Rattus norvegicus: one gene and its partners. The protein of the gene in region 3 interacts with the protein of the main gene of each other region in a pairwise test. Links are inferred from orthologs where the notes say so. Each region holds a gene or a part of one and is shown on either strand. Other genes may lie near its edges. The genes, in order: Acot7, Ccm2l and Camk2b.

What was found.
Region 1: the proteins of Camk2b (region 3) and Acot7 interact in binary tests that used the Homo sapiens proteins (3 or more experiments, as listed by UniProt). The two-hybrid records come from large-scale screens. The link is inferred for Rattus norvegicus from reciprocal best matches to the Homo sapiens genes CAMK2B and ACOT7.
Region 2: the proteins of Camk2b (region 3) and Ccm2l interact in binary tests that used the Homo sapiens proteins (3 or more experiments, as listed by UniProt). The two-hybrid records come from large-scale screens. The link is inferred for Rattus norvegicus from reciprocal best matches to the Homo sapiens genes CAMK2B and CCM2L.

The regions. Positions count from the first base shown.
Region 1 is NC_086023.1:167,965,304-167,975,875, forward strand, and holds the start of Acot7 (cytosolic acyl coenzyme A thioester hydrolase), read left to right. Parts: upstream 1-4,098; 5' UTR 4,099-4,108; coding exon 4,109-4,257; intron 4,258-10,572. UniProt on the Homo sapiens protein: Catalyzes the hydrolysis of acyl-CoAs into free fatty acids and coenzyme A (CoASH), regulating their respective intracellular levels.
Region 2 is NC_086021.1:162,001,156-162,010,770, forward strand, and holds the end of Ccm2l (cerebral cavernous malformations 2 protein-like), read left to right. Parts: intron 1-1,167; coding exon 1,168-1,303; intron 1,304-2,919; coding exon of another isoform or gene 2,920-2,996; exon of another isoform or gene 2,997-3,368; coding exon 3,369-3,432; intron 3,433-5,471; coding exon 5,472-5,601; intron 5,602-6,404; coding exon 6,405-6,543; intron 6,544-7,384; coding exon 7,385-7,689; 3' UTR 7,690-7,708; exon of another isoform or gene 7,709-8,043; 3' UTR 8,044-8,217; downstream 8,218-9,615.
Region 3 is NC_086032.1:85,072,816-85,082,852, reverse strand, and holds part of Camk2b (calcium/calmodulin-dependent protein kinase type II subunit beta), read left to right. Parts: intron 1-810; coding exon 811-883; intron 884-3,408; coding exon 3,409-3,511; intron 3,512-3,584; coding exon 3,585-3,668; intron 3,669-4,162; coding exon 4,163-4,257; intron 4,258-4,379; coding exon 4,380-4,502; intron 4,503-4,809; coding exon 4,810-4,893; intron 4,894-5,678; coding exon 5,679-5,721; intron 5,722-6,679; coding exon 6,680-6,754; intron 6,755-10,037. UniProt on the Homo sapiens protein: Calcium/calmodulin-dependent protein kinase that functions autonomously after Ca(2+)/calmodulin-binding and autophosphorylation, and is involved in dendritic spine and synapse formation, neuronal plasticity and regulation of sarcoplasmic reticulum Ca(2+) transport in skeletal muscle.

The DNA of each region.
Region 1 (10,572 bases), on a different chromosome or scaffold from region 3:
TTTCTCTGTACCAGGTCCCTTTCCAAGCACCTAAAAATGCCCACGTGTCTAGGCCTTACTACCGTCCTATGGGTAGGTCCTCTGTTCTCTCTACTCATGGAGGAGTTGAGGTACACGTAGCAGAGAGCTCACTGAAGGCCACACAGTGTGGCTCATCTTAGTTCTGTACTATGTTACCCCTGTCTTTGGTGTTGTCTCAGTCCCGGAGGGTCTTCTGACTCTTCAGTGTGTTCGGCTCCCCAACAGGGCCTTAAGGACTCCCCAACAGGTCTCCCCAAGGGGCCCAGGCTGGCTCCTTTAGGCTCTTAGAGGTACTGTACCCCATACAAAGATAGAAGCAAGTTGGACGCATCCCTGGAATACCTTCTTGGGTCCTGGACTTTACCTGTCACTCAGATCAGGAGTGGGTCACATGGCCAGGTCACATAGCCACATTGGTCATTCCTAGGGAACAGCATGTTTGCTTGTCTGTTCTTGTGGTTTGCCCTGGAGTTATCTGTATTTTGATGCTAATTCCACTGCCCCAAAGACAGCTGCCTAGAAGTGTACTCAGGAATCAGGTGACTTCACCAGAACCTTCTCCCCATTGAATTTGTAAAGTACAGGTGAGGGGCAGGTACAGGATAGAAGGAGGCCTGTCATTGGAAGAGAAGGAAGGATGGGTGGGAGAAAAGTTTGAAGGAAGAGGAGGAGACTGGAATAGAGAGGAGAAGAGACAGGAGGGAGAGTGAAAAAAGCCGTGGCAGGACAATGGAGGCTGACGTTAAGATTCTGCTCTGTGTATTTACAGGTTGTTATCAATGTTCCTAAGGGATGGATGGTACCGGGCTTTGTATGTTTAAGTGGGCAATTATATCTTATCAACTGGGTCAAAGGTTATTGTGTTGTGTGTTCTTTTATGTGACGGTTTGAGTGTAGCAAAGTGTGCAGCGGCAGGAGACACTGGGCCGCCGAGGAGTTGGGATTTGTTTCCGCCAAGATATCTAGCAGATATCTTGGGGCATTGAGGTGCCGGACCTAAGTGAGGTAAAAGACAACATACTTTTTATATTTTTACAACAACATAGGGCAGAAAAGTTATGAATTCAAACTGACACAAGGACCAAATCTTTAGCCTACAACGATTTATTTATTTATTGGCTGTTAAGTAGAATTTGGTGGTAGAGGGCTCGTCTGACACTTGGCATGGTAGGTTTGAGCCCTATCAGTCCACCCGTGCTCCCACATGGGCATGCACACGCATGTGCACACACACGTAAGGCTCCTCTTTAATGTGGCTAAGCATGTGTTGATCCTAATTGTCACCTTGATGGGATTCAGAACCAGTGTTGGAGACATACGTGTGAGCTTCGGGCATTCCAACAGGAAGTCTGGATGGTCCGGGGGGTGGGGGTGGGGATAGTGTGGCCTGACTCAGTCTTCACTTCTACCCAAGGGAGGGCGTCTGCTGCTGCTGCTGCCACCCTCCAGTGACATCAGACGCCAGTGTCCTCAGCCTTCCAATGTGGACCGAAGACTAGCAGCTTTAAGTTGGACAGCTGAGACACCCGGTTTCCCAGAATGAGCAGTTACATGGAGAGGCAGATGGTTCTTGTGCAGCCGGCCATCAGTGGACAGACCACCCATGTAACCCCCATCCCGGCAGCTGGGTTGTTGGGTTACAACAAATCCCTTCACAAATTACTATTTCAGGTGTATTGTGTGTCTCAGGCTTATACTGAAGACCAGCAGGGACATCTAGCCTTGTGGAGGACAAACTACTTGATGCTGGACTTTCTGTTCACTGTTGGAACTCCCCCGCAAAATCCCCGTTCTGTATATAGAGAGATTCACTTCAAGAGTTCCATTACTCTATAGAACCTCCATGTCTTAGTCAGGGTTTCTATTCCTGCACAAACATCATGACCAAGAAACAAGTTGAGGAGGAAAGGGTTTATTCAGCTTACACTTCCACATTGCTGTTCATCACCAAAGGAAGTCAGGACAGGAACTCGAGCAGGTCAGGAAGCAGGAGCTGATGCAGAGGCCATGGGGGGATGTTACTTACTGTCTTGCTTCCCCTGGCTTGCTCAGCTTGCTTTCTTATAGAACCCAGGACCACCAGCCCAGGGATGGCACCACCCACAATGGGTCCTACCCCCTTGATCACTGATTGAGAAAATGCCTTACAGCTGGGTCTCAGGGAGGCATTTCCTCAAGGGAGGCTCCTTTCTCTGTGATTAACTCCAGCTCATGTCAAGTTGACACACAAAACCAGCCAGTACACTGGACAAATAAACCCTAGAAAAACCGTGGACCACCACCTCTGACTTCTCTCAGACCTCTTTCCAGTCTGTTCTTCCCAGACAACCCTAGTTCTAATATCTTTTATAAGTGGCATTGTACACTATGCTATTTTGCATGTCACAACATCCTAATAGCATTTCTAAAAAATTTTTTTGGGATGCACCATGTGTGTGCAGGAGACCAAAAAGGTAAGAGGCATCGGATCCCTTGGCTCTAGACTTATAGACGGTTGTGAATCACCCTGTGAGTGCTGGGAATGTCGTGTAGGTCCTCTACACAAACAGCAGGTACTGAAGAGCAATCTTCGCAGCCAGGAAGCCTTTCTTTTGTATTATCCTGTGCAGTATTCTATTGTAATATCCTGGCCCTGGATGTTCATGAGGTCACTTATGTTTGGCAGCTCTTTTCAGACCGTTAGTAAATAGGAAAAGCTCTTTGCTTAGCCGCAGCTTCCTCCTAGATCTAGACCTTGTAAGGCTGTGGTTCTCCACCTTCCTAACGCTGTGACCCTTTAGTACAGTTCCTCATGTTGTGGTGATCCCCCTAGCCATAGAATTATTTTCGTTGCTGCTTCATAACCATATCTTTGCTACTGTTATGAATCATAATGTAAGTATCCGTGTTTTCCTATATGGTCTTAGGTGGTTTGAGCCCCGATTCGACCCACAGACTGAGAACTGCTGCTGTAAGGGGAGATGGTGATATTTAAACAGGTCATAAACTCTGGAGGGCTTGCTTAATTCGTATTGAAATGCTAAGAGAACACAGGGTGGAAGCCACTAACACTCTGCTCCCGGTTCTAAAAACTGAATTCTTTGAATAATAATTGTGAGGTCTCAGGGGAGGCTGGTGTGTGTAGCATGTGCCCACCAGGCAAGGCCTGTGTACCAAGCTTCATCTCCTGCTGGAAAACTGGTGTTGCAGGGGTGATAGCTTTAGGCTTTAGAGTAAATGGACCCAAGTTCTGTTAATAGATGGGGTTACCTTTCTTGGGTACCGCATGGAGGGGCAGAGGCTCTCTGCAATACAGTAGATACAGGGTGACAACATTTCTCTTCTTTGGTGGCTTCTGTGGCCTGAAACTTGGACTTGATTTAAAGGCAAAGCAGAAACCAGCAGCAGCTCCTGGGCAGCAGGTGCACCCAGCTTGTACTTGGGGCTCTCCGGGTGTCTTTCTGGAGATCAGTGAGGCAGTGAGGCAGTGAGGCAGTGAGGGGGATTATGAGGCCAATAGGGGTCAGAGGTCGACCGGGCTCCCCGTCTGCAGCCATCCGGGTAAAGGGTTGACACTCGGCACCACGCGCTGTAGGCCCGGGTGAAGTCAAGGCCGGGCGCAGGGGTCGGTACGCGGCTCTCGGCGCCGTGCCCGTCCCGGTCCGGCCTCCCCGCGGTGACCTCATCGGGTGGCCGGCCCCGGTCGGTAGCGAATCGCCACGCCGGCGCACGGGAACGCCCCGTAGACTCCCGGCTGCCACCGAAGCCACGCACGCACACGCCCCGGGGACGCTCCACGACCGGGCCTCCGGCCTGCGTGGTGTCCGCCGCAGGCCGCTCGCCTGCTCCGCGCTGGCGCGTGCGCTGCGCTGCGCGCGCCACCCAACTGCCACCGAACCTTCTGGAAGCGGAGTCCCACAGCCGCCCCCGCCGCCGACAGAACTCGCCGCCTCCGCGAGCGCCTGCGGCCGTGGAGGCCTCTGGGCATGGGGGCGGGGCGGGGCCCGCGCGAGGGCGGGGCCCCCAAGGGGCGGCCGCCTGTGATTCGCCTCCTCTGCGCAGGCCCCGCCTCTCTGGCGACACGGCCCCGCCTCTTCCCTCCTCTTTTATGGCGCCTCCCAGGCTCATTCATTCGGCGCCGGGCCTGCTGGACACCTGTTCTCAGATCCCGCCGCCGCCGTCGCCGCCGCCGCCCGCCGTCGCAGCCAAGATGTCCGGTCCCACCACCGACACGCCGGCCGCCATCCAGATCTGCCGGTAAGACGGAGGCTTGCGGGCCAAGCCGACCCTTCCCCGCTCGCTCGCGCCTGAGCCCGCTGAGGCGATGCTATAGGCTCACAAGGATGCTGCCTTCATCCGGAGCGGCCCTGCCCGGCTCCACGCTCCCGGGGTCCAGGCCCTGGAACCCACCCTGGACCCCTCCACTGGACTCAGGCCCAGGATTCTCTCCCAGGACCCCTCCCTGGATTCCTCTCCTGGATCCCACCCTGGACAACACCCCCATTCCCCGTGCCCTCCTCCGGGATGCTCCCCGCCATGCTGCAGATCCGGGCCGCCTTGCGGGCTCCTCCCACCGGCCTCTGGCTGCATCCCAAGGGCGGCGGCCGCAGTTCTGAGGACTCTTGATGTAGGAATCCGGGCAAGGGACCCTGGCACTGGGCAACTGGCAGAGGGATCTGTCCTCCGTTCTCTTGTGCGTCCTACAGGGCTTGCCCCACCCCGGGCTCCGCGCCTTGTAGTCCGAGCCCAAACCTCCTGCGGGATTCGGAAAGGATAACTTAGGCTCTAGAGGGTGGTGGGGAACATGCCCAGTGCATTGGGAGCACACATGGGTGCGAGCCTCTGTGAGAGCAGGCCCCAGACCCAGTGTTCCTTTAGAGCCCCGCCTCGGTTGTGAGGAGAGCAGGTGTTAGAAGGAAGAACTCATCCATTCAAACCGTTTATTGACTCAGAAAGGGAGTGAGTGGGTCATCTCACACAATGGGGGTGAAGGTTGTTCTCGTCTAAGCATCCTCCCCAGTCTTGTTCCATTGGGGGTGCTGCTTAGATGTGGGTCCCCAGAGGAAGCCGGTGCTGATGAGCAAGCTCACTTCCCCAAGAAGGCGGGGAGGGCAGCCTCAAGGTTACCCTGCGGTTTCATGCACAGTACTTCTGTGCAGATCAGTAAGGGGCAGGTGGGGGTGGGGGATCGTGCCTGCAGGTTGTCTATTCTGCCTGACACACTGACAGGAGTGAGATTTTTTTGAGAGCGGGTATCACATTGGGACAGGTCGAGCAAACCCACAGTTTGGAGGCTGGGCAGCACTCTGACCTTGCGTCTAAGCCTCAAGCAGGCAGAGGCAGGCTCCTGTCTTGTGGGTGCTGCTGCTGGATAACTGGAGCTCTTTGCTGTCAACCTCACCTTCTGGCCCTACAGAGGCCATTCGCTGACTTCAAGGTCAGTTCTGACTCCCTAGAGAGGGGTGTTTGTCTAAGGGAGTCCTGCTCCCTTTGCTTCCTTATTGGCTGCCCAGGCCATTCAACTTGGGCTCTGGGGACAGGGTGTATGTTCCTGATAATGTGGACAACACAGGGTCTTTGTTTGACACATGCTGTGTATTGGTGTCGGGGGTCTTGGGCCTCACCTTCTGGGAGGATGACTGGCAGAGACCTTCCTCCTGCTTTGTGGAGGAGGGATTTGAGAAACTCAATAAAACCACGGAGCCCCAGGAGATTCAGAGTTAGCTCCTGCTTAGGTCTGGTTATACTGATTAAATCACCTGGGCTCTTACTTAACCTCATCAATATGGTTGGTGGCCAACCATCTTTCCCATAGCCTCTAACAACTAATGGGTATTTATGTCGCTTCGGATACTCTAATGTGCTCACAAATGCCCTGTGTGTGGCTTTTCTTATTGTGCTCTACAGGGCTGCCTCTAGCTGTCAGAGTCACAACTGCTTATTTTCCCTAAGTGACAGAGGGTGCATGGCCAGGGGTCCTGGCCCAGACGTCTCAGGGCAAAGCATGACTGCCAAGGGAGGTGGAGCGGTGCAGTAGACTGTGGTCACATGAGTTTGACCAGTGCAGAGTGGACCTAGCTGGATGGGGAGCCCTTTAAGGACATTTGAGCCAGCACCATGAAAGGCAAGACTCCTGACCTGGTGCATCTAAGCCATGAATTTAATAGGACTTCACAGGACACCTCCAAAGAGGCCAGCCCCGGAAGGGCATTGAACAGTGGAAAGTTTAGTCCTTATCTTAAGAGAGAGACAGTGTCATGCGCCTGTCACCCCAGACTGTTAGTGAGATCATCTGCTTTCAGTTCTGAAGCTTGAAGGAGCTTTAAAGATAGGTGTGAGGCGGGAGATGGCTCAGGGGCTAAAGTGCTTGCTGCTGTGAGGACCCGAGTCAGACCTGTGTAAAGTGAGACAGGTTAGTGAGGGCCTGTGACTCCAGTGCTCCTGCAGCCGGGTTGGGAGTGGAGACAAGGAAGCTCACGGGCCAGCTAGAATGATTGCTACTGCAATGAACAGCAAGAACCCTGTCTCAATCCAGGTACAGTGTGAGGACTGACGCCCAAGGTAGTTCTCTGACCCTTATACATACATCATGGCATTGTACACCCGCATGCACACACCTACACACACACACAGCACATACACCCCCTGCAAAGATAAAAGTAACCATGGCCATAGGCTTGGGATGGTTGTGGCTCTGCCCTTGGTAGCTGAGTGACCTGGAAGCCCATTGCTTATATTCCTGTGTCCTGTTCTCTTCTGGGTCTGAGTACTGGGTAAGAGTTGAGCAAGGAAGGATAGTGCCTTTAATCCCAGCATTCAGGAGGCAGAGGCAGGCAGATATCTGTGTTGAAGGCCAGCCTGATCTACAGAGTGAGTTCTAGAACAGCCAGAGCTACACAGAGAAACCCTTTCTCAAAAAACAAATAAATAAGTAAAAAAAAAAACAAAACAAAAAACAAAAACAAAAAAAAAACAAACCAAAAAGCCCAAAACCTGACCTGAACACAGCATCAATGGGTGTTCTTTATGTGGAAAGTGGGTCACCAGCTTAAGAGGTGACAGCCTGGGCTCCATTCCTAGGTCTGTCTCTTACAGGTTGCTGTGTGCCTTAACCTCACAGCATAATCTCACTTGACCCTAATTTTCTTATCTCTAAATTAGAGATATGATAGTACCTATCTTAGGGTCACTGTGTAGACAGATACCTTTGTCCCATTTATTGCTTGTGTCAACATGAACTTACAAAAGGAAGCCTTTGAGAACCAGATCTTTGGGTACTCAGGCCACGGAATAATCGTCCTCTCCTATCATTCGATGCAGTGCAAATAGTCAACCTTCAAACAGAGTGCTGGTATAGGGGCCTTGGTGCAGGATGGCACAGGCGTGTGTGTGTGTGTGTGTGTGTGTGTGTGTGTGTGTGTGTGTGTGCACGTGCCCATGTGGGTATGTGCATGTGCATGCTTGTCCCTGTGAGTGTGCCATGGCACACGTGTAGAGGTCACGACAAAGACAGCGTCTGGGGCTCAAACCCAGATTTTCAGACTTGGCAGTATCTTCATCCACGGAGTCCTCTCTCTTAGTTGCCGCCCCTTCCCTTTAGACATTGTTTTATTGTTATTTGTCTATTTTGTCCTTCTGTGAGGCAGTGCTACACTTAGTAGCCTGTGCCAGCCTTGCTCTTGGCACTCTGCCCCAGGCCCATGATAACCAAGAGCTGGGATTTCATTGCTTAGGGACCTGTTTGGGGCTGAAGGTGTGACATCTGTAGACTTTGTCTCGTCCTGCTCTCAGCTGCTGGTCTGCCAAGCGCTTCTGGGAGCGGAATTTGAGGATGGCAAATGTCTCCAGCAGTGTTAGTTCAGTGGATGTGAATTTTCTCCCTTTCAGCTTGGTCTTTGGCTTGAAAGTAGAATTAACAAGAACACAGGTTCTGGAAGGTTCCATAAAATACAGTGTGGCTCTACCCCTGGGAGGATTTATGAACCCTGTTGGAGATGCACTCTGAGTAGCCCAGTGGCGGAGGATGCCTGAGTGTGTCACTGTCTTATTTTACAGCCTGTTTTGTCACGCAGTATCACACTGCACTTGCCCTGAGGCTAGCCAACTTTCTGGTATTGTCCAGGCCAGATGGCACCTCCTCTTACTTATTTAAAATTTGTTTGCTGGTTTTTGTGAGTATGGATGGCACCTTCTCTTATTTAAAATTTGTTTGCTGGCTTTTATGAGTATGGATGGCACCTTCTTTTACTTATTTAAAATTTGTTTGCTGGTTTTTATGAGTATGGATGTTTTGCTTGCATTTATGTCTCATGCCATGTGTGTGCGCAGGCCCAGAAGAGAGCATTGGATTCCTGGGCTGGAGTCGCAGGCAAGTAGTTGTGAGCTACCATGTGGGTACTGGGAAACAAACCCTGGTCCTCCGAAGGAACGAGTCTTCTAACACTGAACCATCCCTCCAGTCCTCGTGGTTGTTATTACATTGTCCTTTGCTGTTAAAAATATTTACTTAAAATATTTATAGCACACTTGTCCTTCTGCAGGGCATCAGGCTCCAGGCATTGCGCATGGCAGCTGGTGCTGTCCCACGGAGCTGCAGTCCCCATATAGGAGCAACATACTCTGTCAACCACTCTGTCTGAAGGGCATCTCTTCTGCTTTGCAGTGCAGTTCATTGGCATTTGTTTGTTGTCTTTCATTTTGAGGCAGAGTCTGATGTAGCCCAGGCTAGTTTCATATTTGACATGTGGTGGAGGATGGCCTTGAACTTCTGATCTTCCCGATTGAATCTCCCAAGTTCTGAGACTATAAGTGTGCACAGTTTGTTGCATTTGGATAGATGTGAGTACCTGTGTGGTGACTATCTGACTGTGACACAGACTGTCTTCATCAGATCTAATCGTAGCAGTTATTTCCTTCCTCCAGGACCGGCATCTGGCAAGTGACTCGGTGGCTTTCCCTCACCGTGGTTTAGTCTATGGTTGCCTGGGGAAGGCTTCCTACTTAGCACAATGCCTGGGACCCTCACATGGGGGGCACCAGGCTCCATTTTCTGCACATTCCAGTTGGCTTCTCTCTGCAGCCAATGAACATTTGGGTTCTTACAGTTGTGAATGAGTTGCAATGCAGATCTCACAGGTAATTTCTGGGATGTAATCTCCGGCATGGGAACAGTCTCTTGATGGTTGATGAGGCTGAGGGCTTTTTATTATAAATTCTAGGTTTGTTTGTTTGTTTGTTTATATGTTCACTTAGTTAAAAATGGGAAGCCAAGCCTCGTAGTGTTCGGCTCTAATCCCAGCGCTTGCAAGGCATAGGAAGCCTGAGGAATCTCTGAGTTCCAGGCCAGCTTGATTTACATAGTTCCTGGTGAGCAGTCAGGGCGACATAGTAGGACCCTATCTTTAAACACAAAACAAAGGGACTGGGGAGATGGCTCAGCGATTTAATAGCACTGTCTGCTCTTCTAGAGGTCCTGGGCTCAATTCCCAGCAACCACATGGTGGCTCACAATCATCTGTAATGAGATCTGGTGCCCTCTTCTGGCCTGCAGTTACATATGCAGGCAGAATGCTGTATATAAAATAAATAAATCTTTTTTTTTTTTCTTCTTTTTTCTTTTTTTCGGAGCTGGGGACCGAACCCAGGGCCTTGCGCTCGCTAGGCAAGCGCTCTACCGCTGAGCTAAATCCCCAACCCCCTGAGCTAAATCCCCAACCCCATAAATCTTTAAAAAAAAAAAGAAAGAAAACAAAACTGTGAGTGAGGTTTCACTGTTGTCTTAGGGTTTTGCTGTTCTGTGAACAGACACCATGACCAAGGCAACTCTTATATAAAGGACAACATTTAATTGGGCCGCCTTACAGGTTCAGAGGCTCAGTCTTTTATTGTCAAGGTGGGAACATGGCAGCATCAAGGCAGGCATGGTGCAGGAGGAGCTGTGAGTTTTACACCTTCATCTGAAGGCTGCTCCGGGAAGATTGGCTTCTAGGCAGGTAGGAGGAGGGTTTTAAAGCCCACACGCACAGTGACACACCTCCTCCAGCAAGACCACATCTCCCAGTAGTGCCACTCTCTGGGCCACGCATACACAAACCATCACAACTGTATTTATTGCCCGGGCTGTAAGAAGTGGCACAAGTGAGACTCTTGCCCTTACTTCCTGAGTTCCCTAGAGAGGATGCTGAGGTGTTTGTGGATGCTAAGCTATGCTGTCTAAGATCCCAGCATGGGGGAATGCTGGGAACAGGAAACCAGAGGAGGTCAGGAGGCTGCTGAATTGACCTGCTGTTTAGGACCTATGGGTGGGGACAGGACTCATCCGAGTCTCACAACAGATTAGAAAACACTACCTCTGGTGCTTTCCCCTTCAGAGGGGGAGGGCGGCGTCGAGCCCTGGGCTTTCCTCTGTTCCTGCCCCATTGCAGCACTCCTTCATCCTTGACTGCGAGCCAGGACCTCTGCCCCACTTGGCAGCCTAGCCAGCCCTGCTGCGGACCTTTTGGCTGAGGTGAGACCTGTACCTCAACTTGGAATAAGCCAAGCAGGGTGGAGCTTGGCTTGAAGTTCCTGGAG
Region 2 (9,615 bases), on a different chromosome or scaffold from region 3:
ATTAGGGCAATGAGGAAATGGGAAGGGGCATACAGGTGAGCAGGAAAGCTAGGATCACATGGTTCAGGCTGGCTCTGGTAGGAGGTGAGTGGGTTATGTGACAGGGGGTGGAGGAAGAGACCCTGTTTCAACAGGAAAAGTTAGTTTGTATTGTTTAAACTGAAGCAAGGAGAAGAAACAGTCGATAGATCCAGGGGCCTGCAAACCAGACAGGGCCTCGCCTATCCCACTCAGCTGTGGGTTTAAGGCTCCGGTCCTGGCCTGGTGGGAGAATGAATAAGTAAATGAGTTGCTTTCCAAGTGTCTAAGCTTCTGTCCGAGGTACAGTGATCCCACACACAGTGGTCAGAGTTAAACCCCCCAATACCAGCATTAGCTGATGCCTTGGGCCTGTGAGTCCAAACAAGTCACACAACTCCATTAAGCCTCGGAGCACTCAACCATAAAACAAGGATCCTCTCTGACCTGTCTACTCTAGGGTTATAGTAAGGTCTGATCCTGGTTTAAACCGTAGTACCTGCAATGACCACAGATACCCATCCTGAGTTACAGCTTAACATTTACCTTAGGATTTTTAGAGGTGCCAAAAGTCAGGATCTTCATAAGCGTGGCCTTTATCAATCAATGACTGCTTCCTGTGTCTCTTGCTTGAAGAGGCGGATTCCTCCTCAAATGTGCAACCTCCGAAGCTTTGCCTCGGGCCCTCTTCCTCCTACCAGGGACACTATTATTGCTTTGCTCCCACAATTGCGTTGGGCATGGGGCAACCCACAGCCATACCCTGTGCCCAGTAGCAGTAACAGCACTGAGCCTACAATTCTGATTCTTTGAAGTGTTCCTTCTCCTACCGCTCTGGTCTCCACACTGGGCTTCAGGGTCTGTGCCTATACATTTAGTTAAATGAGCCTTTAGGCTAGATGAATTCCATGGTAGGCCATGAATCCCCGGAGACCTGGAATGTACTTTCATGGTAGAGGAGTTTGAGCTGCCTCTAGATTCTGTAAAAGGGTCATAAGAACAAGAGAGGAGCCATATAATTTTGAGGGGACATGTCTTTGAAGTTGGCTTAAGGTGTACGTGTCAGCACAGGCTCTCACTGCATCTGAGGAGGCAGGAGTGCCCTGGGGATAGGTAAGAGCCCGAGTTCTCTTCCTGCCCCTGGACCAGGATGCTGCTGAGGAATCCTGTGCACTCATCTGTCAAGTCTTCCAGATCATCTACGGCGACCAGAGCATCGAGTGTGTAGACCGGGCTGGCTACCACTACAGACCCACACCAAAGCGGCCATGGCTCTCCAGCTGCAGTGAGTATCCAAACTCCCATAAAGCACCGGGAGAGGCTGGATGTCCTGATAGTCAGGGCTGATGGAGGCCTTTAGGGGTTCTGAGGTGGACCCTGGTTCTAGGGGTCCACTTGACAGAGTGTCATCTTCTTGATGACCTCTTCAGAGATGACCACGTTGTCAAGTTTGGGATGAGTTTGAACTTAGGCACTTGAACTTCTCTCTTGTTTTGGGCGTCCCTGCTTTGCAAAGTTCAGCAACTGTACTGTTGGCTAACTGAGCCACCTCACCCCGGGAGATTCCTAGGGCTGACATTTCCAGATTAGTCCATGTATGCAATCAAGGGTTGGAATTAAAGTGAGACTAACAGGGGCATTTATTGAGTGCCTTGTGTGCCAAGCACAATAGCGAAGTGTCAAGTCTTCTCGAGACTTTATGGCGTCCTACCTGTCTTGTTCACTTAGCACAGGAACAGGCACTCCACAGATGCTGGAGAGGTAGCCTTCAGATAAATGGAAACTGCTCAGTCCCCGGGCTGGTGAGATGGCTCAGCGGGGAAAGGTGCCTGCTGCTAATCTTGACAACTTGAGCTCAGTCCTCAAGACTCACAGGGTGGAAGGAGAAACTTTTGAGTTTTCAAAAGTTTTCCTCCGACCTCCCCACGGGCATCATGGCATATGCAAATGCCATCCTGAGCACATTAGCTAATAGTCCCGAGCTTTTGAGACACTGAGGCAGAAGGATCCGAGTTTAAGGTCAGCCGAGCTGCAATGCAGAAACCTGATCTTTATTTTTTTTAAAGCTCTATTTATTATATGTAAATAAACTGTAGCTGTTCAGACACACCAGAAGAGGGCATTGGATCCCATTACAGATGGTTGTGAGCCACCATGTGGTTGCTAGGACTTGAACTCAGGACCTCTGGAAGAACAGTCAGTGCTCTTAACCACTGAGCCATTTCTCCAGCCCCGAAACCTGAAATTTAAAAAAGAAAAAAGATCTAAGCATGGTGGTGACACACATCTTTCATCTCAGCACATGGGCAACAGAGGCAGAAAGATCTCAGAGATCAGTACCAGCCTGATCCACTCCAAGTTCCAGTTGAGCCAGGGCTACACAGAGAAAAAAGGCCTCTCCGAGGCCCTGTGAATCCAGTTTTACAGATAATAAGCATTGAGACTCAGAGTAGTCAATAAATAGTCACAGGCCACAAGGTTGGTAGGTCAGAGGCAGAATCCAAACCCAGTGTGTCTAATTCCAAAGCTTCTGTCTGCAGCGCTCTCTCTGTGTGCTACCCTCAAAGACAGCCATTGTGTGAATTCCCTCCTCCACAGCCTGCTATGGAGTGGTCTCTGTTTGCACAGCTCCAGCAGCTGTGGCACTGGCCTTGTCGTGACTCTGCTACCCGCAGGAGCTGTGCCTGTTGGGAAGCCTCTGCTGGTGACTGTTTGGTTCCCAGGATGCTAAGCAACCAAATGAGAGAACTCGTTCATTCAACCAATGTCGACTGAGTTTTTATTTCTCAGGCCCAGTTATAATCTGTAAGGTATCTTGACGGTAGGCAAACTGAGGCACAGTCTTGCCTTCCTGCGACGTGCATAGAATAAGTAGTCACAGTGATAAATGTCTAACCACAGTGTTATGGGAACCTGTAATGAGGAACTTGCCTCTGAGAAGTCAGAGTGACAGAGTGACCCCCACTGAGCTGACATGAGAAGGCCCTGCCCAGACAGGTGAGGGACCAGGCTGGGGAGGAGCCACATTCTCCATAAATAACGTTGCTTTCCTTTCAAGCTGCTGACTGACTTGCTCTCTGCAGCATTGTCTGCACTGTCTCGTCTAGACACACATTTATCAACACTCTCCCACTGCCTCTCATTTGTCATTCCCCGTGTCCCATCAGATAGGAAGACACTATGGACCTGGGCACTGGGGACAGCAAGGATTGGGGATGACAGTTGCCTGAGGTTAGCTACGTATCAGGGCTGGGCAAGAACCAGATCCCAGGGTGCTGCCAATGTCAGGGGTTCAGGAAGCCTATTGGTGCCTGCACATCATCTCTGACAGTTCTTCCTACTGGTCCCAGGTGAGAGCTGCCGCACCGATGGGACATTTGCCTATGATGCCGACTTGAGCTGCTGCAGTTCCTTGTGAGTACCAGCTTTGTCTGTGATGCCAGCTTTCCCTCCCCACCCCCACCCGGCTCCTCTACAGCGCATGGGGCCCAGGGACCCAACCATGATTTGTATTGAGTCTGGGAGGTAGACAGAGCTCCAGGCTAAACCCTGGGAGACCTAGAGACCTGGGACCACAGAGGTCTTCAAGCCTCCCAGGTTCAGTGGTCTACAGAATCCAAAGTCACAGCTAATGCTAAAAGCTCTGTTGGTATAATAGGAAATCCCGGGGAAGGTAGGTTTACAAAGACAGGATTGGTTTTCTTGTCTTCTTATGCAAAATACAACCAGAGTTTGGGGCCTCCTGGTCCTATTCACCCTGGGCCTCTCTTTCAGTCACAGCTTCCCCTTCACCATCCTCAGAGTGACCTCGTGGTCCAAGCTGTAGCTTCAACCATTCAAGAGCACACCAATGGCCTCTTGAAATAGTTTAGAGAGGATAGGGACCAGGGAATACCACAGTATCACCAGGCAAGCTCACTATGTGAAAAGCCCTGGGTTCCATCCCTGAAGCACATGTGTGTGTGCGTGTGTGTGTGTGTGTGTGTGTGTGTGTTTGTGTGTGTGTGTGTGCTTGTGTGTTTGTGTGTGTTTGTGTGTGTGTTTGTGTGTGTGTGTTTGTGTGTGTGCTTGTGTGTTTGTGTGTGTGTTTGTGTGTGTGTGCTTGTGTGTTTGTGTGTGTTTGTGTGTGTGTGTTTGTGTGTGTGCTTGTGTGTTTGTGTGTGTGCATGTGTGTGTGTTTGTGTGTGTGCTTATGTGTGTGTTTGTGTGTGTGTTTGTGTGTATGCTTGTGTGTGTATGCTTGTGTGTTTGTGTGTGTGCTTGTGTGTGTGTGCTTGTGTGTTTGTGTGTGTGTGCGCTTTTGTGTGTGTGTGTGCGCGCGCGCGCGCACACACACACGCACGCTGTAATGCACGTCATTGGCTTTTGTTAGCTGCTATGTGGCTAGTTATCTGTTATGTGGGGTCTATAGCCTGAAGTGCCTTACATATGATCCTGTCATTTTCACAGTGACACCAATCTTCATCATCTCATTTTACAGATGGAGAAGCTGAAGACTAGGGAAACAAAGTTTAGCAACCCAAGGGTCAAACACAGTAAACGCCATAGACCTGGCCTGCAAGCACAAGCAGGCTGGCATGTGAGCTCAGGAGTCTACACCCTTGCTAGGTCTGTGGTCCCAGCCTTCTGGAGGTGGAAGCCAGAGTGTCAAAAGTTCAAAGCCCAAGCCCAGTGTGGTCATCTTATTTTAAAAGGAGTTAACAATGAGAATTTCCTATGCTGGGTGGGACTGAACCAGAGATGAGAGAGTGTTTGCCTAGGATATGAGAGGCTTTGATTCCAACCCCTGTCACTGCATTAGCCTGGCTTGGTGGTTCAAAACCACCACTCCAGCACTTGGGAGGTTAAAAGCAGGATCAAAAGTTCAAGGCTAACCTTCACTACATAAAGAGTTTAAGGCCATTCTAGGATATGTGAGACCCTCAAAAACGAAACCCTCCACGATGAGCCAGGCAGCCTAATTTATAAAAAGAATTCAACAAGGAGAAAGGAAAGGCCGCACAGTTCAGCACAGGTGGCATCCAGCAGTGATGGATACTACCGTGAAAAGAAGCTTCCCAGGGTATGTAAGAGTCAGAAGGGGACTCTACCTTACCTAGGAGCCAGAGGGGCTTCCCAGAACTGATGACAGTTGAGCTGGTGATAAAAGGGACTGGTCATTCCAGGCAGAGAGAACATCAAGAATTCAGAATAACCAGGTAGTGGTCCTGTGGCTGTGACACTAGATGTGAGAGAGGCAATGGAGGAGAGAAGTCCAGGCAGAGGGAACAGCCTGTGCAAAGGCTCAGGGAGGGATAAGGAAGGGTGACAGGAGTGCCGAGAGCAGGAGGGGGCTTGAGAGGTTGCTGGACTTTGATGAGCCTTGAGCACTGGTATATAAGCCCAACCACCTTCAGCCTAACCTAGGGAAAGCAACAGAGGTTGGTGAGGCTACTTTCCCCTTTTCTCTGCAGCAATGGCTCCCAGGACACATTTGAGGCATGTTACAGTGGCGCGTCCACACCGTCCTTCCACAGCTCCCACTGTAGCAGTATCGACCACAGCAGCTGGGCCTTTGAGCAGCTACAGGATTACATGGTCACGGTGAGCATGCACAGACAGCAGAGCTCTGCAACAAGAATCTTATGTGAGAGCTCAGAGGCCAGGGAAGGAGGTGTGATTAGGAGCTTAGAGAAGCCGTGGCTGGTGTCAGCCTGCACTGAAGGCTCCAAGCACCTCCCCTGTCTTTCATCTCTTCAACAACCTCAAGAAGGAGGCTCCCTCCTTACCCCAAGTGCAGAGAAGGAAAGCAAGGGTCAGGGAGATAATGACCTCCTGCCACCTCAGAGGAGGTCACCAAAGGATTGGGGCTCAGGAAGTGGGACCCATATCCCATTTATCTTAGAGTGTTACTGCTGTGAAGACACACCATGACCAAGGCAACTCGAATAAGGACAACATTTAATTAGGACTGATTCCAGATTCAGAGGTCAGTCCATTATCATCAAGGCAGGAACATGGCAGGATCCAAGCAGGCATGGTGCAGGAGGAGCTGAGAGTTCTACATCTTCATCTGAAGGCTGCTAGCAGAATACTGGCTTCCAGGCAGCTAGGGTGAGGGTCTTAAAGCCTGCACCCATAGTGACACACCTACTCCAACAGGGCTACCTACTCCAACAGGGCCACACCTTCTAACAGTGCCACTCCTTGGGCCAAGCATACACAAACCACTACACCATTCCTAGATGCAAAGACCAGATGTCCCCACCCACCTCAGTGGGCAGTGGAAGATTTTGCAGATGGGCTGGGCCTGACAGGCTGCCAGAGAGAACCTCAGCATATTTAGCAGAAGCCAGGCGTTGTTGCAATCTGGATCTGGTTTCCAAGGGTGTCCCTTACTCCCACAGCTGCGAAGTAAGCTGGGTCCTCCTGAGATCCAGCAGTTTGCGATGCTGCTACGAGACTATCGCCTGGGGCTGCCTATCCAGGACTACTGTGCAGGCCTGCAGAAACTCTATGGGGACCGACGGAAGTTCCTTCTTATTGGTAAGCCCCACTCTGCCTTGGCTCCAGGCATCCCCAGCCAGACACCACCTGGGAGCGCTTTGCTCTTTGAGCCCCTAAGGCCCAAGACTTAGAGAACCTGGACCTGAGAAGGAGAGGAAGAAAGAGTGAAGGAAAGGGAGAGGAATTGCCAGCAAACAGCTGGATGAGCCTAGCCCTAGGGTAGCAAAGCAGGTCAGGATGTGATCAACACACACACACACACACACACACACACACACACACACACACACACACAGCCTATCTTAGCCTCAGAGAGGCAAAGCGACTTGTCTGGAGTCACACAGCTAGTGAAGAGGGTTACTGAGCACCGTAGGAATAATATTGATCACACAGGAGCATGTTTGGCAGTTATCATGAGCCAAGCATGACCTCACAGACTATCCCCATGCCTGAGAAGTAAATATTGCTATCTCGTCACCATTTGGAAGTGAAGAGACTGAGACTCAAAGTAGCAAAGTAAAGAAGTCAAAGGTCCAGAAAGGGACGCAAGTAAATCTGATGTTTATGGGGCACGTCGTGGAAAGTAACTGATTACATTTTCACCAAATCAGGTACGGAAGATCCGTTGTACAGGTGACGAAGGTGAGGTTTGAGTAGTTATTTAACTAAGGTTGTATAGCCAGTAACTGGGAGTATATCCCTAAGAATATATTAAGCTAGCAAACACATGAGGAGTCTTGTGTCATCTGCTGTTTTGAGAGGTAAAAAATTTTGGGTAAAGCTATCCCGGCAGAGACAGGATTTGAACTCGGACTTCCAGAGAGGGCATTCCATAGCAATCTGGCTGGATGCTGGAGTCACTTTGCCCTGTGTCCTCTAGGGATGCGGCCCTTCATCCCAGATCAGGACATCGGCTACTTCGAGGGCTTCCTGGAGAGCATGGGTATCCGCGAGGGTGGAATCCTCACTGACAGCTTCGGCCGCATCAAGCGCAGCATGAGCTCCACGTCTGCGTCTGCCGTGCGCAGTTATGACGGGGCGGCCCAGAGGCCGGAGGAGCAGACCTTCCACCAGCTGCTGACTGACATCACGCATGACATCGAGGCACTGGCCCCGGACGATGACGACGTCTACGAGGATGTCTCCCCAAGCGGGGGCGACCAGGTTGAAGACAACTACCTGTAGCTCCGCGGCACACTTGCCCGTATGACACCATCCCCAGGGTTCCTAGACTCCTGGGTTCCCATCCGTGCCTTGGGGCTTCTTTTCCCTGCAAATGGGTTCACAGGGCTTCAGTCCTTGCAATACCAAGAAAATCCTGTAGAGGGCGGGAGAGCCAGACTCTAGAGTGTTCTTCAAGCTAAAGAATCGCTCCACCTACTGGCCGACAGAAAAGATATCTAATTCACGCCCCACTTTCTGCAACCCTGCCCAACCCCAAACCAGAAACATTTCCAGAACCTAGAGACCTCTCTTCAATTTTACAGGCTGAGAGACTGAAGAGACATGGGGGGGTGTGTTTGTTTGTTTGTTTTTAAGGGAATGGAAATATGAGACAACGCCAGGTCCTTGGATATCGACACTCATCTCCACATCTCTAGGATAATTTCAGCTCCACCCAGCTCACAAGTGGTCATCGGGATGAATGGAGGGCAAGACATTAGGGTTGGGCCTGGCATGCTGTAGGTGCTCAATAAATGCTGTTTCTCTCCACTTGGAATGTTTTTCTGATTCAATGTGCCTGTTGTTCCTGGGAGCGGTGTGTGGAATGAGGTGTTATGAAGACTAGAGGAGTTCACAGCTTGAGAAGAAGAAACAGGACTGGCCTTCACAGTGGTCTTATAGCCTGGCTCTGTGCCCAAACCCCCAAACAAAATGCACTCAGGCCTCTGCAGACAGACAGCCTGGGGCTAATCAAAGAGCTGTGCAGGCAGAGTTGTAAGCTCTGGAGGTCAAGATGAGACCAGTCCTTGGCACAGCCTCAGTGAGGACAGTGAACCTTGAGAGGAGGACAGAGGCCTCTAGAAGAGATCAAATGTGTCTGCAAAACCTTGCTAAGCCTTCCTCGGTCAAACATTTTCAAATCGAGTGATCACTGAGACTTAGAGTTCCAGATTCCCACTGGGACGGTGGCAGATAACTGTTCTCACCCCCACCCCACTCCCAACCCCCGCACCACTCTCAACCCCCGTCACTGGTCCATGCGAGGTTCTCCGGATGTTCTGCTTCATTCCTTGTTTGTCCACAGATTCTACTCCACACCACAACCCCTAGCTCCAACATGCCAAAAAAAAAAAAAATCGTCTCTGTACACAATGCTGGGCTGCACAGTGGGTAGAGTACCTACCACTCAAGCATGGTGGCCTGAGTTCGGTTCCCCACCACCCATGTGAAAATCCAGTGTGGTCACATGTCTGTAGTCCCAGCTGAGAGCAGGGTTCAGAGAGAGGGGCCAGCTAACAAGCAGTAAGTGTGAGTGAGGGACCCTCAGCCCATAAGATGACTCAGCTTGTAAGGCATTTGCTGATGTGCCTGGTCACCTGAATTCAAGCCCCAGAACCCATATAAAGGTGGGAGGAGAAAACCATCTCACAGAGCTGTCCTCTGACCTCCGCACATGAACACGGTGGCATCAACACCACTCTGCACATGCATAGGCACATGCGTTAAAAATAATTTTGATTTAAAAAAGAGAGATTGTATCTTAACAGATAAGGTACACAGAGATCTAAGAAGACTAACCTCTGACCTCCACATGTGTGCAACCCTGCGTGTACACACACACACACACACACACACACACACACACACATCCTATGCAATGCCATGTGCCCACGAACACAGCGTAGTGGTATTGGAATGGGTTCTAATTCTTCTTTTCCCTTTCATAACATTCGGCATTTTGCCATTGGGGTGGTCAGGGGTGTGATATCATGCTTTATTCTTGTTTTTGATGCGAGCATCTTGTTATATAGCCAAGGCAGACAACTCAAGATCCTCCTGCCTCAGCCTCTTGAGTGCTTGATTACAGATGTGCTGCACCATGCCCAATCAGTCTGTAACATTTTGAGGACCCAACCATATGGGTCTTCCCCATGCGGGGAAACCTAG
Region 3 (10,037 bases):
GGGTTGGGGGTGCTGTTTGAGAAGGGTGGTTTCCATACCCCAGAGAAGCCAACCTTTGGTCATGCCACTGTCCGTAGGGTGAGATCCCATGAGACTCATACCTAGCTCCAGGGGTTACTGGGGCAGCAGGGAGTTGAGCACAGGCTACAGGGCCTCTGCATCCATGGGGCTGGTGGCCCTGAGCCTGATGTGTGGAAGGACAGGACGGGTCTGAGACTGCCACCGATAGATGTCACTAACTAGGAGAGAGCTGGGACAGAGGGGACTTGTGTGCTTAAGCTGTCCCCTGGCTAGAGAGGCAGCCTGCCCAATAGTTGTCTTCATGTGGATAAGGCTGGGCTGATGACACATGATGAAGAAGCACATAGTAATGTAATATCTCCACAGTGGGCAGGTTCATCCACATAGCCTGGCACCCATGCTCCTACCTGCCACACCCATAGGGTCCACTTACAGCTGACCTGCCCACAGCGCAGGGTCTGTTTAGCCTAATTCAGCCTTAAGAGAGCTAAGCTGAAACCAGAGTGTTTCCCTTCAGAGTTGCTGCTGGGGATCTGGTTCTGATTTCTAAGCAGACCTGGGTCCAGCATGGGAGGCAGAGCAAGGACTAGAAGAGCTGACCTTGGGGCTGAGGAAGGACTCCCTTGTGGCCAGCCTCTCCTTCCGCCATGATTCCCCTCATTCTCCTTGCTCGCCCAGGCTGGGGGTTGAACCCCAGTACCCCTGCCTTTCCCACATCTCCTGTTGCTTCCCCCCCCCCGCCCCGGCCACCCCAGGACCATTCAACTAACCTGCCTGCTGTTTGCACAGTCACTGTATCCAGCAGATCCTGGAGGCTGTTCTCCATTGTCACCAAATGGGGGTCGTCCACAGAGACCTCAAGGTGAGTCTCCTCTCTGCTCTGCAACAGGTGGTCACCCACACCTACAAACTGTGCAGCAGGAGGTGTGGCGTACAAGGGAGGTGGGGTGTGCCAGGCGTGTGTGCACATGACATGCTTGCACACAGGAGTGTGAGTGGATGCGTGTCCATGTCTGGGCAGGGCCCTCATGCACATGGGTGCATGCGTATATAAAATAGCTCTGTGTGTGTGTGTGTGTGTGTGTGTGTGTGTGTGTGTGCATGCGTTTGCACACATGTGGAATGTAACTGCACACTTACAGCTCAGCTCCTCAATCACTTCTAGAACTGTCCGGTTAGCAGATGTACACTCAGTTTCTCACTTTCTAGTCTTCTACCAAGATGGAGCTCTCAAGGCTGGGGACACGGGTGACTCGAGGCAGGGTGAGGAGAGCAGGAGCAGACTGGCTTGCTCGACTCCTCTCGGGTCTCTCTTTCCAATTCTGTGATGCCCTTTGCTTGACTATGGGCTCCAGGCTCTGTGCAAACGAAAGCCTGTAGCTTGGTGTGACAGCTCATCCCTTTAATCCTGGTGCCTAGGAGATTGGGGTAAAAGGATCAGAAGTCCAAGGCTAGCCTAGGCTACATAGCAGGTTTGAAGGTGACAAGTCTACATGAGCCCCCCGCCCCCTACTACACACACCTCATGAGAAGAAAACAATTGACTCTGAGTTATCTAAAGACCCCTTCCCCAACCCCTTCCCCCCTGTAATCTCTCCCTTTCTAAGGCCTGGCTCAGTCTCTTGCTGAATCCACCTGTTTGGGGACACTGTAGATGCCAATCCTAGCCTGAATGTCTTTAAGGCCAACCTCAGTGCTAACTGGGATGGCCACTCCTTTCTTAGGCCACAGGTTAGGGACCAGTCTTTGCAGCTGTTCTGGGGAAGGTGTCACACAGAGTAGGCCCAGGATGCCCCCTGCATCTCATCATGTGTCCTTGCTTCCTTAAGCATCCTGCTCTGCCTTACCTGGGTACAAGGCCCCTGAGACACGGGGGTATACGTCACTGATTACATGGGGTGCAGGCACTACGCTCGCAGAGAGTAAACGCTGAGGCTAAAGCACGGAAGTATGTTTTCCCTCACGTCTCCAGGTCTGGGCAAACAGGATCTTCCTTTTGAGAGAATACAGTGTCTCTCCTTTCCTGGAGGACATCTTGGTGAGGCAGAACCACAGATGACACCATGCTAAGTGGAAGCTACATGGTCAAGACAAGGCAGGAGAGAGCATGTGTAGCTGGTGTCTCGGGTGGTGGTTGTGAAGAAGCCAGGGTGCAGCTCAGCCTCTGTGGCCTGACTGCTGCCTCCTCCAGGCCCCAGACATTCTTGCCTTGCACTTTCTAGAGTTCCCATGTGACTGACAGTTTTCAATGTTGGAGGAGAATGCTCAGGGTCCCTGCCATGCTCACGATGGCAAAATGAAAATGGGCCAGGCTGAGTGTGACCCCAGGCCAGGCTGAGTGTGACCCCTGCCTATCTATCACCAGAGGGGAGGGAGTCCTAGGAACTCTGCAGCTTTCAAGCTTGCTTACTTCACACCCACAGCAAGAGCTCTTGTGAGGCTCCAGTCTGCCATGGGCTCAGGGCACCCACCTCAGGAAGCCCACATCTTTCTCTGTAGGTGGTTGGGCAAACTTCGGTCCCAGGAGTCACATTAAGCCTTGTAAAGTCTCTGAGGTGGATGACAAAAGCAGGCTGTGTGGCAGGTTGTGGTCTGTTCTCAGGAGTGAGGTGCCTCTGTGGGTGGCGAGGGCGCCTATGAACTCACCAAGGGGACCTGAGAGCTGAGGAACCTCCGGGTGGTCAGAAGCCAGGAACTTCCTGCTGAGTGCTGGACCAGAGACCCGATCCTTGGGAGCTGCCGGACAGGCTGCTGTGGTTAGAGGTTAGATAGAGAGGCCAAGGGAAGCAATATCATAGGGGCTTTTATGGCCCTCAACAACCCAGAGACAACGGCCTCTCTGGCCACTTCTTCAGGACAAAACAAATGTCCTTCCAGATGAAGCCAGAATGATTCTCCAGGAGGATGCTTTTCCCACCTGCAGATGCAGACATCCAAGCGCCCATGGCTCCTTTCTGTCTCGTGTAATAGCACTAACTGGGGCTGGGTAGAGCTTGGGTGTTCCTCCATGTTCTATGAAGACCATTGCCCAAGCCCCTGGACTCTCTACCATGTCAGAAAGGAGAGGGGCAAGACTGGCCTCTATCAGGGGGGCAGCCCTGCAGCCCCATACTGGAATCGTTGCAGTTGTCTGTGAGAGTGAACTGGAGATTTCATTCCTATTTTAGGAAGCAGGGTCTCCCAGTTCAAACTGAGAGCCAACTCCCATTACAGTGACTGGGGCTGCTGTCCTAGTCCCCAGAGAGGAATGGAGCTCTAGGTCTAGAACACCCATGTCGGGAGGCACAGCATCCTCCCTGTCCGGCAAACTGCTGCCGTCTCTTGTCCCCGGCCCCTCGCAACTGCTCGTGGTGTGAACGCTGTGCCCTGATGGCTCTCTCCCCGTAGCCTGAAAACCTGCTCCTGGCCAGCAAATGCAAAGGGGCCGCAGTGAAACTGGCAGACTTCGGCCTGGCCATCGAGGTTCAGGGAGACCAGCAGGCATGGTTTGGTGAGTGTCAGGGGGCGGGCAGGGGGTACTGGCAGCTCCTCATGGCCCTTCATGGTCCCTTCCCCTTCGATAGGATTTGCGGGAACACCAGGCTACCTGTCTCCCGAAGTTCTTCGGAAGGAGGCCTATGGCAAACCAGTGGATATCTGGGCATGTGGTAAGACCTGTGTGTGAGAGGTGGCTGGGTTGCATGGTGAGCGTGTGGTAGTGTCTCTGGGATCATTCCCTCTGCCCTGCAGTGTACAGGTGGCTGGCTGGCTTCTCCTGCCCTGAGCCAAGTACGTGTGTCCTACCTGCCTTTGGGCTGCCTCAGCAAGGCTCTCACACTGTGACTACATTTACCCATGCGCTCTGGCCCACTGTGTTTGTCTGCCTGTGCTCAGTATAGGTCTGTGCCCAGAGCAAGTGGACACCAGGATACAGGGACCTGGGGCTGTCAGACCACAGGGCGAGGTGGCTCCTTAGGTGGGCTCTTCTCTTTCTGGTGGGGATACAGCAGAGGAGGTCGGCCAGGCTCCCTAGTAAAGCGGAGACAGAGCAGGGAGCAGATACTGTTTGTGTCATCCTCCCCATGGCGGAGGGGCGCAAAGGCACACTGAGGACTGACCCTGGTGCCTCCCAGGGCTATGCTGCTCACCTCCACATCCACAGGGGTGATCCTGTATATCCTGCTGGTGGGATACCCACCTTTCTGGGATGAGGACCAGCACAAGCTGTACCAGCAGATCAAGGCTGGGGCCTATGACGTGAGTGAGCGCCGGGTGTGGAGGGCGGGGACCGCCACGGCCTGGGTCTTCCCTCCTCTTCAGGGGTGTTTGCCCCAGGGGAGGGGCTTCAGCCTTGCCCTGTGCCCCACTTCCTTCTGTAGTTCCCATCCCCCGAGTGGGACACCGTTACCCCTGAAGCCAAAAACCTCATCAACCAGATGTTGACCATCAACCCCGCCAAGCGCATCACGGCCCACGAGGCCCTGAAGCACCCATGGGTCTGCGTAAGTCGTCCTTGGCAACCTCTAGGGGCCAGTTCCTGGTGGGTCTATCCAGGGCCCCTAAGATGGCCCCGGGCTTCTGTTCCTTGTGTCCGACCACTCCCCTGATCTGTGAAGGACAAGACTCTTGAACTTGGAAATAGGTTGGGGACAGCAGGTGGGAACAAGTGATCTCTCGCTGTTGTGGTGGCTGGCCCTAGAGTGCCATCACCCTGAACCCCTCTCCTAAGCCTCCTTGGTTCCCCCTCTGGAGGCAAGGCTGATACTTCTGTAGATCCTCACTGCCCTGCGACTTCCCTTCTCCCAACAGCAACGATCCACGGTGGCCTCCATGATGCACAGACAGGAGACTGTGGAATGTCTGAAGAAGTTCAATGCAAGGAGGAAGCTCAAGGTAGGCAGGACTCAGACCCCATCCCTGCATCCTGGGGGGGCCCCATGCTGGAAGTAGGGGTGTTAGTGGGGCCTTCAAAAGAGGAAGCAGGAGAAACCCCCCAAATCCATGCCTGTTCACGAGTCCAGATCAGAGGATTCCAGATTCTGGGACAGCTCAGAGGGGCGAGCTTGGCCCTGAGTGCAGAGCATCCTGAGGGCTGAAGGAGTGCTGGCCCAGAGCAGGTTCAGTAAAGGGCAGAGCAGAAGGGCCTGGTGGGCCCAGCAGGTTAGAGAGGCAGGCGGACAGGCCTGATCCTGAGAGTTGCTGGCCAGCTAAGGACAGGGTTAGCCCTGGGAACCATTGCTCAATTGAGCTTCCCCAAAGCCCCAAGGGCAGCCCTGGCTTCCCTGGGCCCGTTAAAGGAGTGGTTCTCAACTCAAGGGTCGAGATACCCTGCAAAACCTTCATAATGTAACAGTAGCAGAATCACAGTTATGAAGTAGTAACGAGATAACTTTATGGTGGAAGGTCACCAGGACATGAGGAACTACCTTGGGGTGTCACAGCATTTAGGAAGTTCAAGAACCACTGGGCTAGCTGTCATGGTGGCAGGCCTTCCTGGCCATGCTCACTTCTCAGGAGTCTTGACGCTGTGATTTATGGGTAGCATGAGCCTTAGCTATGGGCGTGTGGCTTCCCTCAGTGCAGCTGCCAGGCTCTGGAATTCTTACTTCTCTGGGAGACCGAGCAGGGGGGACAGAAGCAGACACTAACAGGGTGGCCCTGTCTCTGTTTCTCCTTAGGGAGCCATCCTCACCACTATGCTGGCCACACGGAATTTCTCAGGTGAGACATTCTTCTCCAGGGAAGACGGTGTTTGAGTCCCACCCTCGTTCTACAGAAAGCCCCCTCCTTCTTCATCGGCCCCCCCGCCCCTTTCCTCCAGGCTGGCGGGGGCCCAGTTTCTGTCCTCACCTCTAAGATCCTCTACCCAGAAGGCCTTTTGGCTTTTCTCGTTGGGTAGCTACTGAGGTCTGCTATGCCCCAGTCCTGCCTCCTCCGTGTCGTTGGGTCTGTGTCCCTTACTTGACACCCCAGTGTCTGTGCTGCCAACACCTGGCCTGCCACCTGTATCCGTCCAAGCATCTGTTGGGCAGCCCTGTGGCCTCCTTGTCCTCAGTTCTCTGAGCATCGTGTTGTGTGTGGGAGACAGCCGAAGTGGGGGTGGATGAGATTGAGGTCCGCGCACGGGGTGACTTGTAAGTGGGCCGCCTACCCTGGTTGTTTGGGTGGGTGATGGGAAAATGAAGTCTCAAGGGTCTGTTAGAGACCCATGGGGCCCGCGTGGGGGGACAGTGTTGGCCCCAGTGCCCGGACAGCTATGTCTGTGGCTTCTTCGTCGTCTGACACTATGTGCGAGCGTTCATGGTCGTCTCTCCTTGTGCGTCTGCATCTGGTACCCTGCCTCCTGTTACTTTGCTGTGATGCTGTACTGCCGGGAATGGGCACACAGTCACATCAACACTAATGGGACTGTCCTGTCTGCTGTGTGCCCCGCATGCCCCACAGGGCACAAGAAGCCCCACTGGGGTGTTCTAAGGAGAAAGGAGGCAAATGCTTTCCAGTGTCTATCGGCCCAGTCTTGTTTCACTATCCTGAGAAAGGGATTCTGGAGCCATCCCCTACCTAAACTTTAACTCTAATCTTCTTCTGCTTCCTTTGTCTCTTCTCTTTCCTCACCTCGCCCTTCCCCACGTCTGTGTCCGCCCCCTTCCCCCCCTCGTCTCTAACCCGGTGCTAACAGTGGGCAGACAGACCACCGCTCCGGCCACAATGTCCACCGCGGCCTCCGGCACCACCATGGGGCTGGTGGAACAAGGTAGATGTGTCTTGCCCAGTGTCCACCCGCTCCTGCCCATCCCTCCTGTTGGCATGCAGCCCCCCTGCTGCACGCAGCCACTGGCCAGACCCCCAGAGCCTCCCCGGAGGCAGGCAGTCCCCTGGGAGCTCTGCTCCTGTCACATCCCAGCTGAAGCCCTGCCCTGGGCAATAAGGCTGCCCCTCACTCTTGTCTCATCATCTGTAAGAGAGAGGTCACATCAAATCCCAGATGCATTTGCCTGAGACCCTTGGTTCTGCCTCTGGATGTCTGGAGACCCAATTCAGAGTGACCCTGATCTCACAGGAGCCACTAAGCCTGCTGCTGGAGGGTATCAGCCCTGAAAGGGGAGCCCTTGGATCAGGGCTTGGGGATAGAGACATGTCCCAAGGATCTGTAGGGCCCAAGGGTCTGGTGGTCTGTGCTACAATTCCTCAGAGTGAAAGTGGGGTGCTATCAGTGTCTGGAACTGAAGGGTTCTTTCTGAAGACCCTTCTTACTTGGTCCCGAACTCCCTTAGGGGAGGAGGTAACCTCCATCAATCTGTCCCTTTGATGGTGTGAGACCTTCTGAGGGCTCAGTGACCCAGAGCCCTCACCACGGGGTCCGTAGTCACCACCCAAACTGAATGCCAGCCAGCAGCACAAGGTTCGAGTCGCCACTGAACACATAGACCCAAGCCAAGCTTCAGCTTCTCCTAAAGCCTTGAGAGTCAGCTGAGGATCGAGCACGGGTTTCCCAGCCAGCTGAGGACCAGCCCTTTCCACACGCCTGCCCACACCCACCTCACAACACCACTAGGACCACAGCAATGATCACCTACTAGAGGATCCTCCTCCTGGGGGATGCTTAGGTCACCCTAGGCTTGTCTGTTCTGCCCACAGGGGCCCGTTGTAGACGCTCCCAAGTAATTATATAAAGCTAGCGGCTGTCAGGGCGGCCCTATTGCCAGGGGACAGTGGCGTGAGACAGGTCACCTCTGAGCCATGCTCCGCCCAGGACTTCTGCTGCAATGCTCGCCTGCCTGCAAGTGAGCCGGGGCAACCTTGCATGAGGCTGCCTGCATGTTGTGGTTCTGCCCCAGGAGCTGAGGGTCCCTCTGTCCTGGAGGGAGGTCAGTGCATGTCAACAAAGCTCGGCATGGCTGTCCACGGTGACTAGAGAGAGAGAGCAAGGCAGAGCTGAAGGTCCCATCTACTCCGTTAGGTCGGCCCAGCCCAACCACACACGAAGGGCACACATTGGGGGTCTTCCTTCTCCGTGATTCTGTCCGAGCACCTTGACAGCTGTAGACCCTTGCTGTAGAGCGTTTTTGCACTTTGGCTCCCACCACCCCGCCCCCATTGAGCAGACATGCGCAGTAAGGTGCCTTGTGACTGTCAGGCTGGCTGGCTGTGGGCTGGAGGTAATGGCTTGGCCTGAGACCTGGAAATGGAAAATGCCCTCCTCCTGAGTTGGGAGTACAGATCTGAAGAGCCCCCAACTCTAAGTATCTGGAATCCCCCCTCCCCCACCATGTTTGTTTAGTCCACTTTGGCTCCGGCTGCACCTTCTAAATCCTTTTGACTCGAGACACCGCAGAAGTGGCTTCTCCTGTATGAGTGGAGTATGCAGGTTCCTGGCTGCAGGGAGCCATAGTTAATCCAGGGCAGATAGGGGAGCTGGAGAAAGCCAGTCTCCAGGAAGCGACGGCCAGAGCCCATGCAACCAAGGAGGCTGGGCCATGCACCCATGTGTCTAGGCTATATAGGTTATCGGTGAGAGGAACAGGAAGTGCTGAAGTAAAGTTGATGTCTGCCTGAGTTTTCTAGGTCTGAGCTATAGGCATGGCTCATCTGGGTCCAAGTGTGCTATGGCCGGCTTGGTAATAATGTGTTCACCCCCCAATAAACCACAGATACCATTCCTAGTAACACAGCCCGGAACTGTGGTTTTGATAGACTTGAGGGCTTAAATGGAACCCTTTTAAGATCAAAGACAGTCCTGGGATCGAAGCAGGCCCAACCCTTCCAGTGTGTCTTTCCCCGTGAGAACCCTCCAAGGATGTCTGAGGGATAGTGAAACGCCACTACCGAATCTCAGACCAATAATGGCTTTCCCTAGGTTCTAACACAGAATCCAACAGGGGACAGGCTGGGTTGGCTGTATGGCCTGCTGGGGCGGGGGTGGGGGGAAATCAAGCCCACCTTCTGCAGACTGTTGAACCTGTTGAAATTGCCACCTCTTAGAAATGTCCGTCTTCCCCTACTGCCCAGAAAGCCATAACAAGTACCCTCAAAGCAGGACAGTCCTACTTCCTTGGGCTCCAGGGAGGGTCCCATCTCCCAGCTCTGCCAGTCTCAAGTGTCGGTTGAGAGCAGCAATTCACCCTTAGCAGTTCCTGTGCCACAGAAGCCCGTGCTGCCTGGGCGAGCAATGCAGGTCTCTAGGGATGACGATGGAGGAAGATGGAGGAGAGTGAGCCATAGACAAGGAGGAGGGCTATGCTGGGCAACTCCAGGGAGTGTCTCGAGACACACCAGAGATGTTTCAAAGTCCACTCTATAAAGAAATGGGAAGTCAGCATTTAGCCCTAGGAACACCCCTTGGGGCTACCCTGGGATTGAAGGTCTAGGGAGCCCCAAGTCTGTAGATGACATGTGGAGGGCAGCTTCGCTTCAGAGAGACCCGCTTGTGACAGAATTTATGAGACAAGCACCAAAACCATGATGGAGGATGGCTGTCGGGAACCAGTGCCCGCCACAGAGGTACTCCAAAAGCATTCAGGTTCCAAGATGGTATGTGGTTTCAGTTGCCATGTCCCCATGTCCCAGCATACAGAGCCTGGTGGAGGTAAGGGGCTCAAAGTGCGTCATCTGGCTAGGGAGGGAGGTAGTCAGGAGGCAGCAGTAGTGCCCAAGTCTGGGCTCTGAAAAGAACTGCCCTCAGAGGTATGGGCACGCAGAACCCTTCAGAGTTCTTACTCTGTGGCCTGCAAGTTTGCGTTTCTGATCACAGCAGTGGCGCTGCTATGGCAGAAGACCATGTTTGACTAGGTTACAGCCCCAGGACTAAATGTGCTGTCCCCAAGTCCCCACCATGCCCGCTGTAGGCTCCCCACTAGTAGGCAGGAGAGGCTGAGGTTAGGTATGGTCAGCCAATGTCTAGTGTACAGGATTTGTGGGTAAGGGCTTTGGAGACAAGGAACTGCGTACCATGCTCCCTGTGCTATGCCAGCCATGACTGCCTTAACCTGCTGTGTTGGCCAAGTGGCCACTTGGCTCTTCTTGGGGACAGGCTGGCT